Linked DNA regions of Kluyveromyces lactis. The protein of the gene in region 1 interacts with the protein of each later gene in a pairwise test. Links are inferred from orthologs where the notes say so. Each region holds a gene or a part of one and is shown on either strand. Other genes may lie near its edges. The genes, in order: KLLA0_F03729g and THI4.

The links.
Region 2: the proteins of KLLA0_F03729g (region 1) and THI4 interact in a two-hybrid assay, tested with the Schizosaccharomyces pombe proteins (2 studies listed by BioGRID). The link is inferred for Kluyveromyces lactis from reciprocal best matches to the Schizosaccharomyces pombe genes sec24 and thi2.

What each region holds. Positions count from the first base shown.
Region 1 is NC_006042.1:351,480-355,929, forward strand, and holds KLLA0_F03729g (uncharacterized protein), read right to left. Parts: upstream 3,012-4,450; coding exon 237-3,011; downstream 1-236. Other genes in the region: KLLA0_F03751g (putative metalloendopeptidase), read left to right, coding at 3,960-4,450. UniProt on the Schizosaccharomyces pombe protein: Component of the coat protein complex II (COPII) which promotes the formation of transport vesicles from the endoplasmic reticulum (ER).
Region 2 is NC_006037.1:13,553-16,767, reverse strand, and holds THI4 (thiamine thiazole synthase), read left to right. Parts: upstream 1-1,556; coding exon 1,557-2,531; downstream 2,532-3,215. UniProt on the Schizosaccharomyces pombe protein: Involved in biosynthesis of the thiamine precursor thiazole. Catalyzes the conversion of NAD and glycine to adenosine diphosphate 5-(2-hydroxyethyl)-4-methylthiazole-2-carboxylic acid (ADT), an adenylated thiazole intermediate.

The DNA.
Region 1 (4,450 bases):
TTGACTAACTTTTTGATCTTATATATACATGTATATTTTTTTTAGCATATTGGCAATAGGTGTAAGATGACAGACAGTCGAAAGTAGCCACAGATAGTTTGTAATGACAAACATGTATTCTTATGTTATACATATCACTTGTGTAAGGTTGTGTGCAAAGTAAGATTTTGCTATTTCATGGTTTCAATATCTACATAAAAAATGGTATGTACGCAACTTGGAAGCACCTTTTAAACTTACTTCGAGATTCTTGTCTTCATGTTTTGTAAGAATTCTCTGTAGTTCCAGCTGTTTTGGACCTTATCTTCGACCAACTGAGATGCAGTCCATAATCTTAGAGAAGCAACTTCCCTGGCAGAAGGATGGTTCATTGGTTCACTTGGTGAGGCGCCTCTGACAATGTGCAAGGTTTTGTAGAAGATAACATCATCGTGTTCTCTTATCTTTGTAATAACATTCCTCACTCTTAGGTTGAACTCAGTAGCGTCTAATAGAGGTAGTTCATTTTTACCAATTGGAATTTCCATAATGTCCGGGGTTCCAAACACGTCTGTAACAAGCTCTGGGACAGCATCACCGCCAATCCATAAGAACATGTCCAATCCTGTGTCGATTAAATACAGACCGTATCTTTCCAATAAAGACGAGGTGGAGTTAATTGGTTGCGGTAGTACAATTTCACCAGTTTCTTCATCGGGAAGACCAGCTTCGTCAGGCATGTCATGTAAGGAGTATACTGTTGGATAAATGTTTTGAATCAAATATGGCAATGGTAACGTTTCAAGATTATTTAATGCTTGAGCTCTGTGATCAGCCGGAACAATACCAGAACGGAAAGCCATATGTTTAGTTAGAGAATGCATCAATAGAGGCCACATTCTTAGGTTACTACAGAGCATTAATGGAGCTCCGCCACCTGTGTTTGAAGTCAAAACTTCTTTCTTGTATGTAGCCAAAACCTCTTGGACAGATTTGTTGAAAAATTCTCTAGTGTCTTCAAAGCCAGAAGAAGGAGCTCTTTCCACAGCCTTTTGAGCGAAGTATGCTGTGATGGCCAACTGATCTGCAGAAGCATAGACTTCAGTTAGCTTATCAGTAGTTGGAATACCAATAGTTATGACTCTAATTCTTCTTTGGGCAGCATTGGATGTCAATAATAAAGCAATTTGAATGTACACAAAGTCCTTTGTTAATTGTTCATCGATACCAATTTCAAAAACGTATGATTGGTCCCTTGGAACCGTAGCCAAAGCGCACAAGTCTGAAGATCTATTGAAGAAATGACCGTAAAATCCGGTCATTTTCAAGCCTGACGAACCACGAGCTCTCATAACAGCTTCCAAAGATAGATCCATGGATACGTGTTTTGAAAATTCTTTTGAGAACTTTGTAACATCGATCAAGTTTAAGGCACTGAAACCAGGGTAGAAATGGGTTTGGCCACCAGTGAAACGGCCTAGGTTAGAGATAGATGCGATATCGACATAATCGTCGGAAGCCATAAACATATCCACCGTAACTTGATATTTGTTACATTCGATAGGGAAAGATTTGTAGAATGCGTCACCAGTGTTCAATAAAGTGGAAGCTTCCTTGGAAGTATTTGCAACAGCCTTTTCATTTCTCTTATGTAATGTACCTTCACCGACGTTGGCCAAAGTGGCACCAACAACAATAATCTTACCACCCTGAGCTCTGATCAAGTTCAAAGCAGACTTTAGAGCAGAGGCCAAGGCAAATCTTGGTTGAATATTTTGTTGGAAAATTTCTGGTAAGCTAGTCAATAATTTTTCAATGTTGCTTCTAGCCTCAATTAGTGGAACCAATAGGCCAGTGGGAGAAGGTAAGAATGGTTCATCCAAGTCAGCGACGTCGTACATCTTAATGTTGTCACCTTCTTCGTCCAAAGGAATACGGAAGTAATGTAGAGATTGATCAACACAAATAATAGAGATTCTTGTTCTCTCATCATGGTTTGGAATGGTATCCAAGCTTTCCAAGAGAGTTCTTGCAGCAGTAGCCAACAAGCCATTCTTGATTGATGCCTGAGAAACGTCCAAAATGAAAGCGTAAGTGGATGGTGGTGGTGGTCTGACAGCGTATTCTTTAGGAGCAACGAAATCCACAACAGAATGGTTGAATTCGGGTCTCTCGTAACGGTTACCATTCATATCAATTGCTTGAGGGAAGTTGTTCGCCAAGTTACAGAAGTTACATCTCCAACGTAAACCATTCTCGATTACTTGTACGAAGGGGTTCAAGTAGGCACGACAACGTCTACAACGAACCACAACACCGTCTTCGCTAGTTGGCACTGGACATTCAGAGTCGGTTAACTTAGTGTATGGTCTGATAACCATAGCTAATGGTAGTTTCGATTTTTTCAGTAAAGAATTGTTTTTTGGAACGGCGTTCAAAGTGCACCTTAAATGGTCAGAACAATTGTTAACTGTATCGTTAGGAACAATCATCTTCTCTGGAGGGAGCATCAACGGTGGTGGAGGCAAAGACAAGTCAGTGATTGGAGGAGGCAATTCTTGGAACAAATCAACTGGGTACAATTGATTCATTGGTTTACCCACAGCCATTCCTACTCCTGGTTGTTGATATTGTGGTTGCTGCTGCTGTTGTCCGTACGTTTGCCCATACGGCTGTTGCATTGGCTGCTGATACTGCTGCTGAACACCGGATATGTTATCGGCGCCGTAGCCACTGTTCATTGGCTGGCCATATTGAGGAGCCCCACCGTATGGTGGTTGTTGCACCGGGGTTCCAGCTTGCTGGAATGCAGTAGGATCAACCACAGGAACGTTGTGTAATTGCATATTACCAATGCCGTTACTTGCTTGGTCGATCTGTTGATGCAAATGTTGTTGAGCAGGAGTCAGAAATTGCGGCTGTCCAGCACCTACAGTTTGCGGAGGAACACCTCCACCAACAATTGGCTGTGCAATCCCTTCTGCAATTTGGTACTGAGCCTGAGGATAAACACGCTTCTTATGGTGTGACATGGTTCAGTATAATTTGATCTCCTGTATCACTCGATTGTCTGTAACTCTTTCTCTTTTATCTGCAAAAAATACAATGCAAAGAGCCTTCTCCTTTATAAACTTCTGATAAGTCGCCTAGATCCTGACACAGTTATTGACTCTACCAAGTTGAAGATCCAAAAGAGTAGATGCCTCAATCGATGGCAATTGAATATCAAATGTGTGTATTGTTTTTATAATTTTCGGCCCGTTTTGTTATTGTCGAAGAATCGAAATTTGGGTTTTTGGATTTTTGAAATTTTTTTTTTATTTGGTTTCCTTTCAAGATAACTGCTAAATAAACTGACGCGGTTTGAGAGGCTTTTTCCAGCGTATGTATATGGTTGCTGCTTTATTAGCCAATTGCTCAGTCGATGTTAGCTACATATATTGTATTTCTTTGATCATTGACATATGTGTATTGTATGCTGCAGTTCGTATTTGTATATTGACAGCTGTCAGATTTTAATAATAATATTCGGGTAACATCATAGTTCGTGTTCTCTCAGAATCACATAGTTAAGTAATTAATGTCGACGTGGTCATTGTAGAAGATAAAACTTTCGGGCAGATTGTGGGTCACTGATACTCCCTCCAGACACTGTACGGGCTTTAACGAACCTACCTGTGGTTATGCAGTGCTTTATTTGTTGATGGATATTTAGAGATATAAACCTTGCTATATCACGTGATATGAAAGTTCGAGGTCTGCTTATTTTATTTACAATGTGCGTAGATTTTGGATCAGATCTTTAAACAAGATGTCTCGAAGGTAAAACGATTTTAAATACGAGCAATCCATCCATTGTTCCTAGTATTCGATATCATAAGGTTCTACACTGGTAATTCAGCTAATACCTGTGACTGACACTCAAATCTGCTTCTTTTTCCCACTGGTACACCATAGAATACCCTTAATTAAATCAAGTGATGTCCCAAATCCAATTTTACAACATCAAGAACGGAGAAGAGGTTCATACACCCGCACTTATTGTCCACGGAAATATAAATACAAATGCCAATTCTGTCCAAGTGCATCATTCGCAGCTCCCTCCCTTAACGTTTCCCGTTAACAACCACGGATTCAAGTGCATTATTTCTTTGACTCCTGGTGAAAACTTACTATGGTTCACTGGAAATGACAATTCTACGGCGCAATTAACTATTCAATACGTACCATTGTTACAGAACCCGCCAATTCATCTATGTCTACTACTCGCTAAAGATTCTCCTCTGAAATATGATGCACCAGCTGTACAGATTCGTAAGGAGGGTGGTAACGGTCTCGATTTGGCCATAAAGAAATTGAGAACTGGTGCACGGATCATGCAAGCTTTCACTAATGAACAAATGGTTCGTAACGGCGTCGGTCAAAGAACTTTCCGATTCGTGGAAGAATTCACGAAGGATACCCTCCTAAA
Region 2 (3,215 bases), on another chromosome or scaffold:
GCGATGCTGGTATGTTCAGCCTGAAAAGTAGGTACAACCTTGTTTAAACTTAAGGAGCCTACATTATACCTATAATCTGATATGCCTCACTGTTTTAATATTTTTTAGACTTTATTGTTGACGAATGATATTATGGGTATGCGCTGAGGTCAAAAAAACAATGCAATACAATGAACGACATCGTAAAAAAGACCCCTTTGGTAAGTATTCTAAGGAAGAGAACCAACCGCCCAAAGCCGGTGACACTTCACAATCTCTCAAATATTAGAATTTCAAGTCACAGGCTTATGCATTTTAACTGGCAAAGTATTGTCTTCACTTAAATAACCAAAACGTGATTTATTTCTAGTTGGATGTCGAAACAGCCAACCCAAAATGTCTCAAACCGTTGGACACTCTATTGTGAATCAATGCGTGCCTTTCCCACCTAGAGTACCAAAAAATAAAAGTAATTCTTGATTCATAGAAGTTGGCATGTCAGTGCCAATTCTAAGGATAGGATAACCGAATTTGATCTGGTGGATAGTTCCAATCGCCTTTCACGTATCTATGTACTGAAAATGAAGGAAGAAAGGCTACCACATCTTAACACGAAATAAATTCAAACAACTCTTTCAATGGACCGGAAATGTAGATTTCAATTCAGAAATCTTGTACTACTGCGTCATCTATCTTGGGCTACCTGTATCTCTTTCCAACCAAGTTTACTTTTTGCACCCTAAACTGACGTTTTTTCGCCAACGATGAGCTAAAAACCTTCGTTTTCGGTTCATACCTCAAATTGCAAATAATGGCAGCCAATGAGGTCTTCTATCGACAAACGCCAGACCATACACACAGGTATATGTTAATTTACGATGCTCTCGTCAGCAATTATGTCCCTTAAGGAAATTGTGTGGGATGCAGGTAATGTTGGAAAAGAACAAAAAAAAAACTGTCGCCTGTTCTAAGAGTTACTCTGGAAAACAGTATTTTTTTTATATGCAGCGATAGAAAGGGTAGAAATTCAACTAAAGGCCAAGAGTTAATACTCACAAAAAGGACAAAATCTACTGAGCGATCAACTGATGTGTTAAAGAGAACGTTTGGGGGCATTTTTCTTTTGGAAACGAACGATTATCTTTCCCGTTTACTCTCGATTTGGTAATCAGCCAATTTTCATGGAACCTTGGCGGATATCTCTATCACTGTTAACAAGATATTCCTAACTGACGCTTATTCGTATAATAACGGAGTAAGGGTACAGACATTAAGGAAATTAGTTTTAACAGTAAAAAAAAAAAAGGCAAAGTAATATGGTATGGAATGCTAACAGGTTCATGTCCAACCAACGTTGTGGGTGACGATAAGCCTCGTGAAACCACGGTCTTTGTTCGAAGTTTAAGAGGCAGTGAGCATTCTAGTTAGAGAACTAAAATTATAAAAAGGCCCACTCTTTCAACCTTTTCCCTTTTAACCTTCTGGTATTATATTTGTGTTATATCAATGATTCTCGCTGTAGAACAGTAGCAGCTAAATTCAAAGGATACTTTACAAGTAGCAACAACAGAACAAAAATGTCTACCACCCAAACTCAAACTCAAAACAAACTATCAGTCCAATCTCAAAGTGTCGAACACTGTTTGTCTGATGTTGTCAAACAAGACGACTGGTCAGACTTTGCATTTGCTCCAATTAGGGAAGCAACTGTTTCTCGTGCAATGACCTCTCGTTATTTCAAAGATTTGGACAAGTTCGCCGTATCCGATGTTGTTATCATTGGTGCAGGTTCAAGTGGTCTATCTGCTGCATACGTCATTGCTAAGAACAGACCTGACTTGAAAATTGCCATTATTGAAGCCAACGTTGCTCCAGGTGGTGGATGTTGGTTAGGAGGTCAATTGTTCTCTGCCATGATCATGCGTAAACCAGCAGACAAATTCTTGGACGAATTGAACATTCCATATGAAGATGAGGGTCATTACGTTGTTGTTAAACACGCTGCTTTGTTCATGTCTACTGTATTGAGTGAAGTATTGAAGTTCCCTAACGTGAAGATGTTCAATGCTACTGCAGTTGAAGATCTTGTCACCAGACCAGCCGATGATAATTCTCAGCACGTCAACGTCGCTGGTGTTGTTACTAACTGGACTCTAGTCACTCAAAATCACGACACCCAATCTTGTATGGATCCAAACGTCATCGAATTGTCTGGTTACAAGGATAATGGCGAAAGGGATTTATCACAGAAGCATGGTGTTATCTTGTCTTGTTGTGGTCACGATGGTCCATTTGGTGCTTTCACTGTTAAACGTATGGCTTCCATCGATTCCTCTAAGTCCTACGCTGGTATGAAGGGTTTGGACATGAACAGAGCTGAAGACGCTGTTGTTAAGAACGCTGGTGCATACGATAAGGTTGGTTCAGTTTACTTTGCTGGTATGGAAGTTGCTGAACATGCTGGTTTGAATAGAATGGGTCCAACTTTCGGTGCTATGGCTGTTAGTGGTATCAAGGCTGCTGAAGATATCTTGAAGCACTTTGCTGCTTGATTGAATCAAGGGGATTTTTACCTCAATTTTTTACTTAGTGTCTAGTTTTATATAGCTTTTTATCGACACACTTTATGACTGCTAATGGCCTCTGAACATTTCTTCCATGAAATCACAAGGAAATGTTTAATAAATACTTCAGCATACCAATTGGGGAGCTATCAATTTTGCTGTTTCGAAGGGAATTTTTCAGACTTCTAAAGATTTTGTCGCATAATAATCAGCCAGCTACAAGTTTAATGTACCGAGTCACTCCATGGTACCTTCTATGAACAAAAACACAAAAAGCAGACGTTACTATACCGATCAGTTATTAAAAATATATCTTATACAAAGAGGAACGAATGCATAAAACCTTACTAAATAAAGTGCTTTTCATGTCAGTACTTTCCCTCAACAAGCATTTTAGTTCCGGCAGAAATATTTTGTTGAAAACTTCTACTGCATAGTAGACCGTATTGTTAATTAGTGATGAAACGAAAAAGTATCTGAGTGTTGTCATAAAACGAGAGCGCTAATAAGAAGAAAATCTTATGAAAATTGAACATGAATAACAATGTCTGGTTACTTAATTTTTAAAACGTTTGTTGTTAATGGTGGTGTAAGGGAACTTCCAAGGCCATTCATGGAATCATTGCTTACCGTTAAGCTGAACCTGTGCCGAACTTGGATCAAGATCGCAGC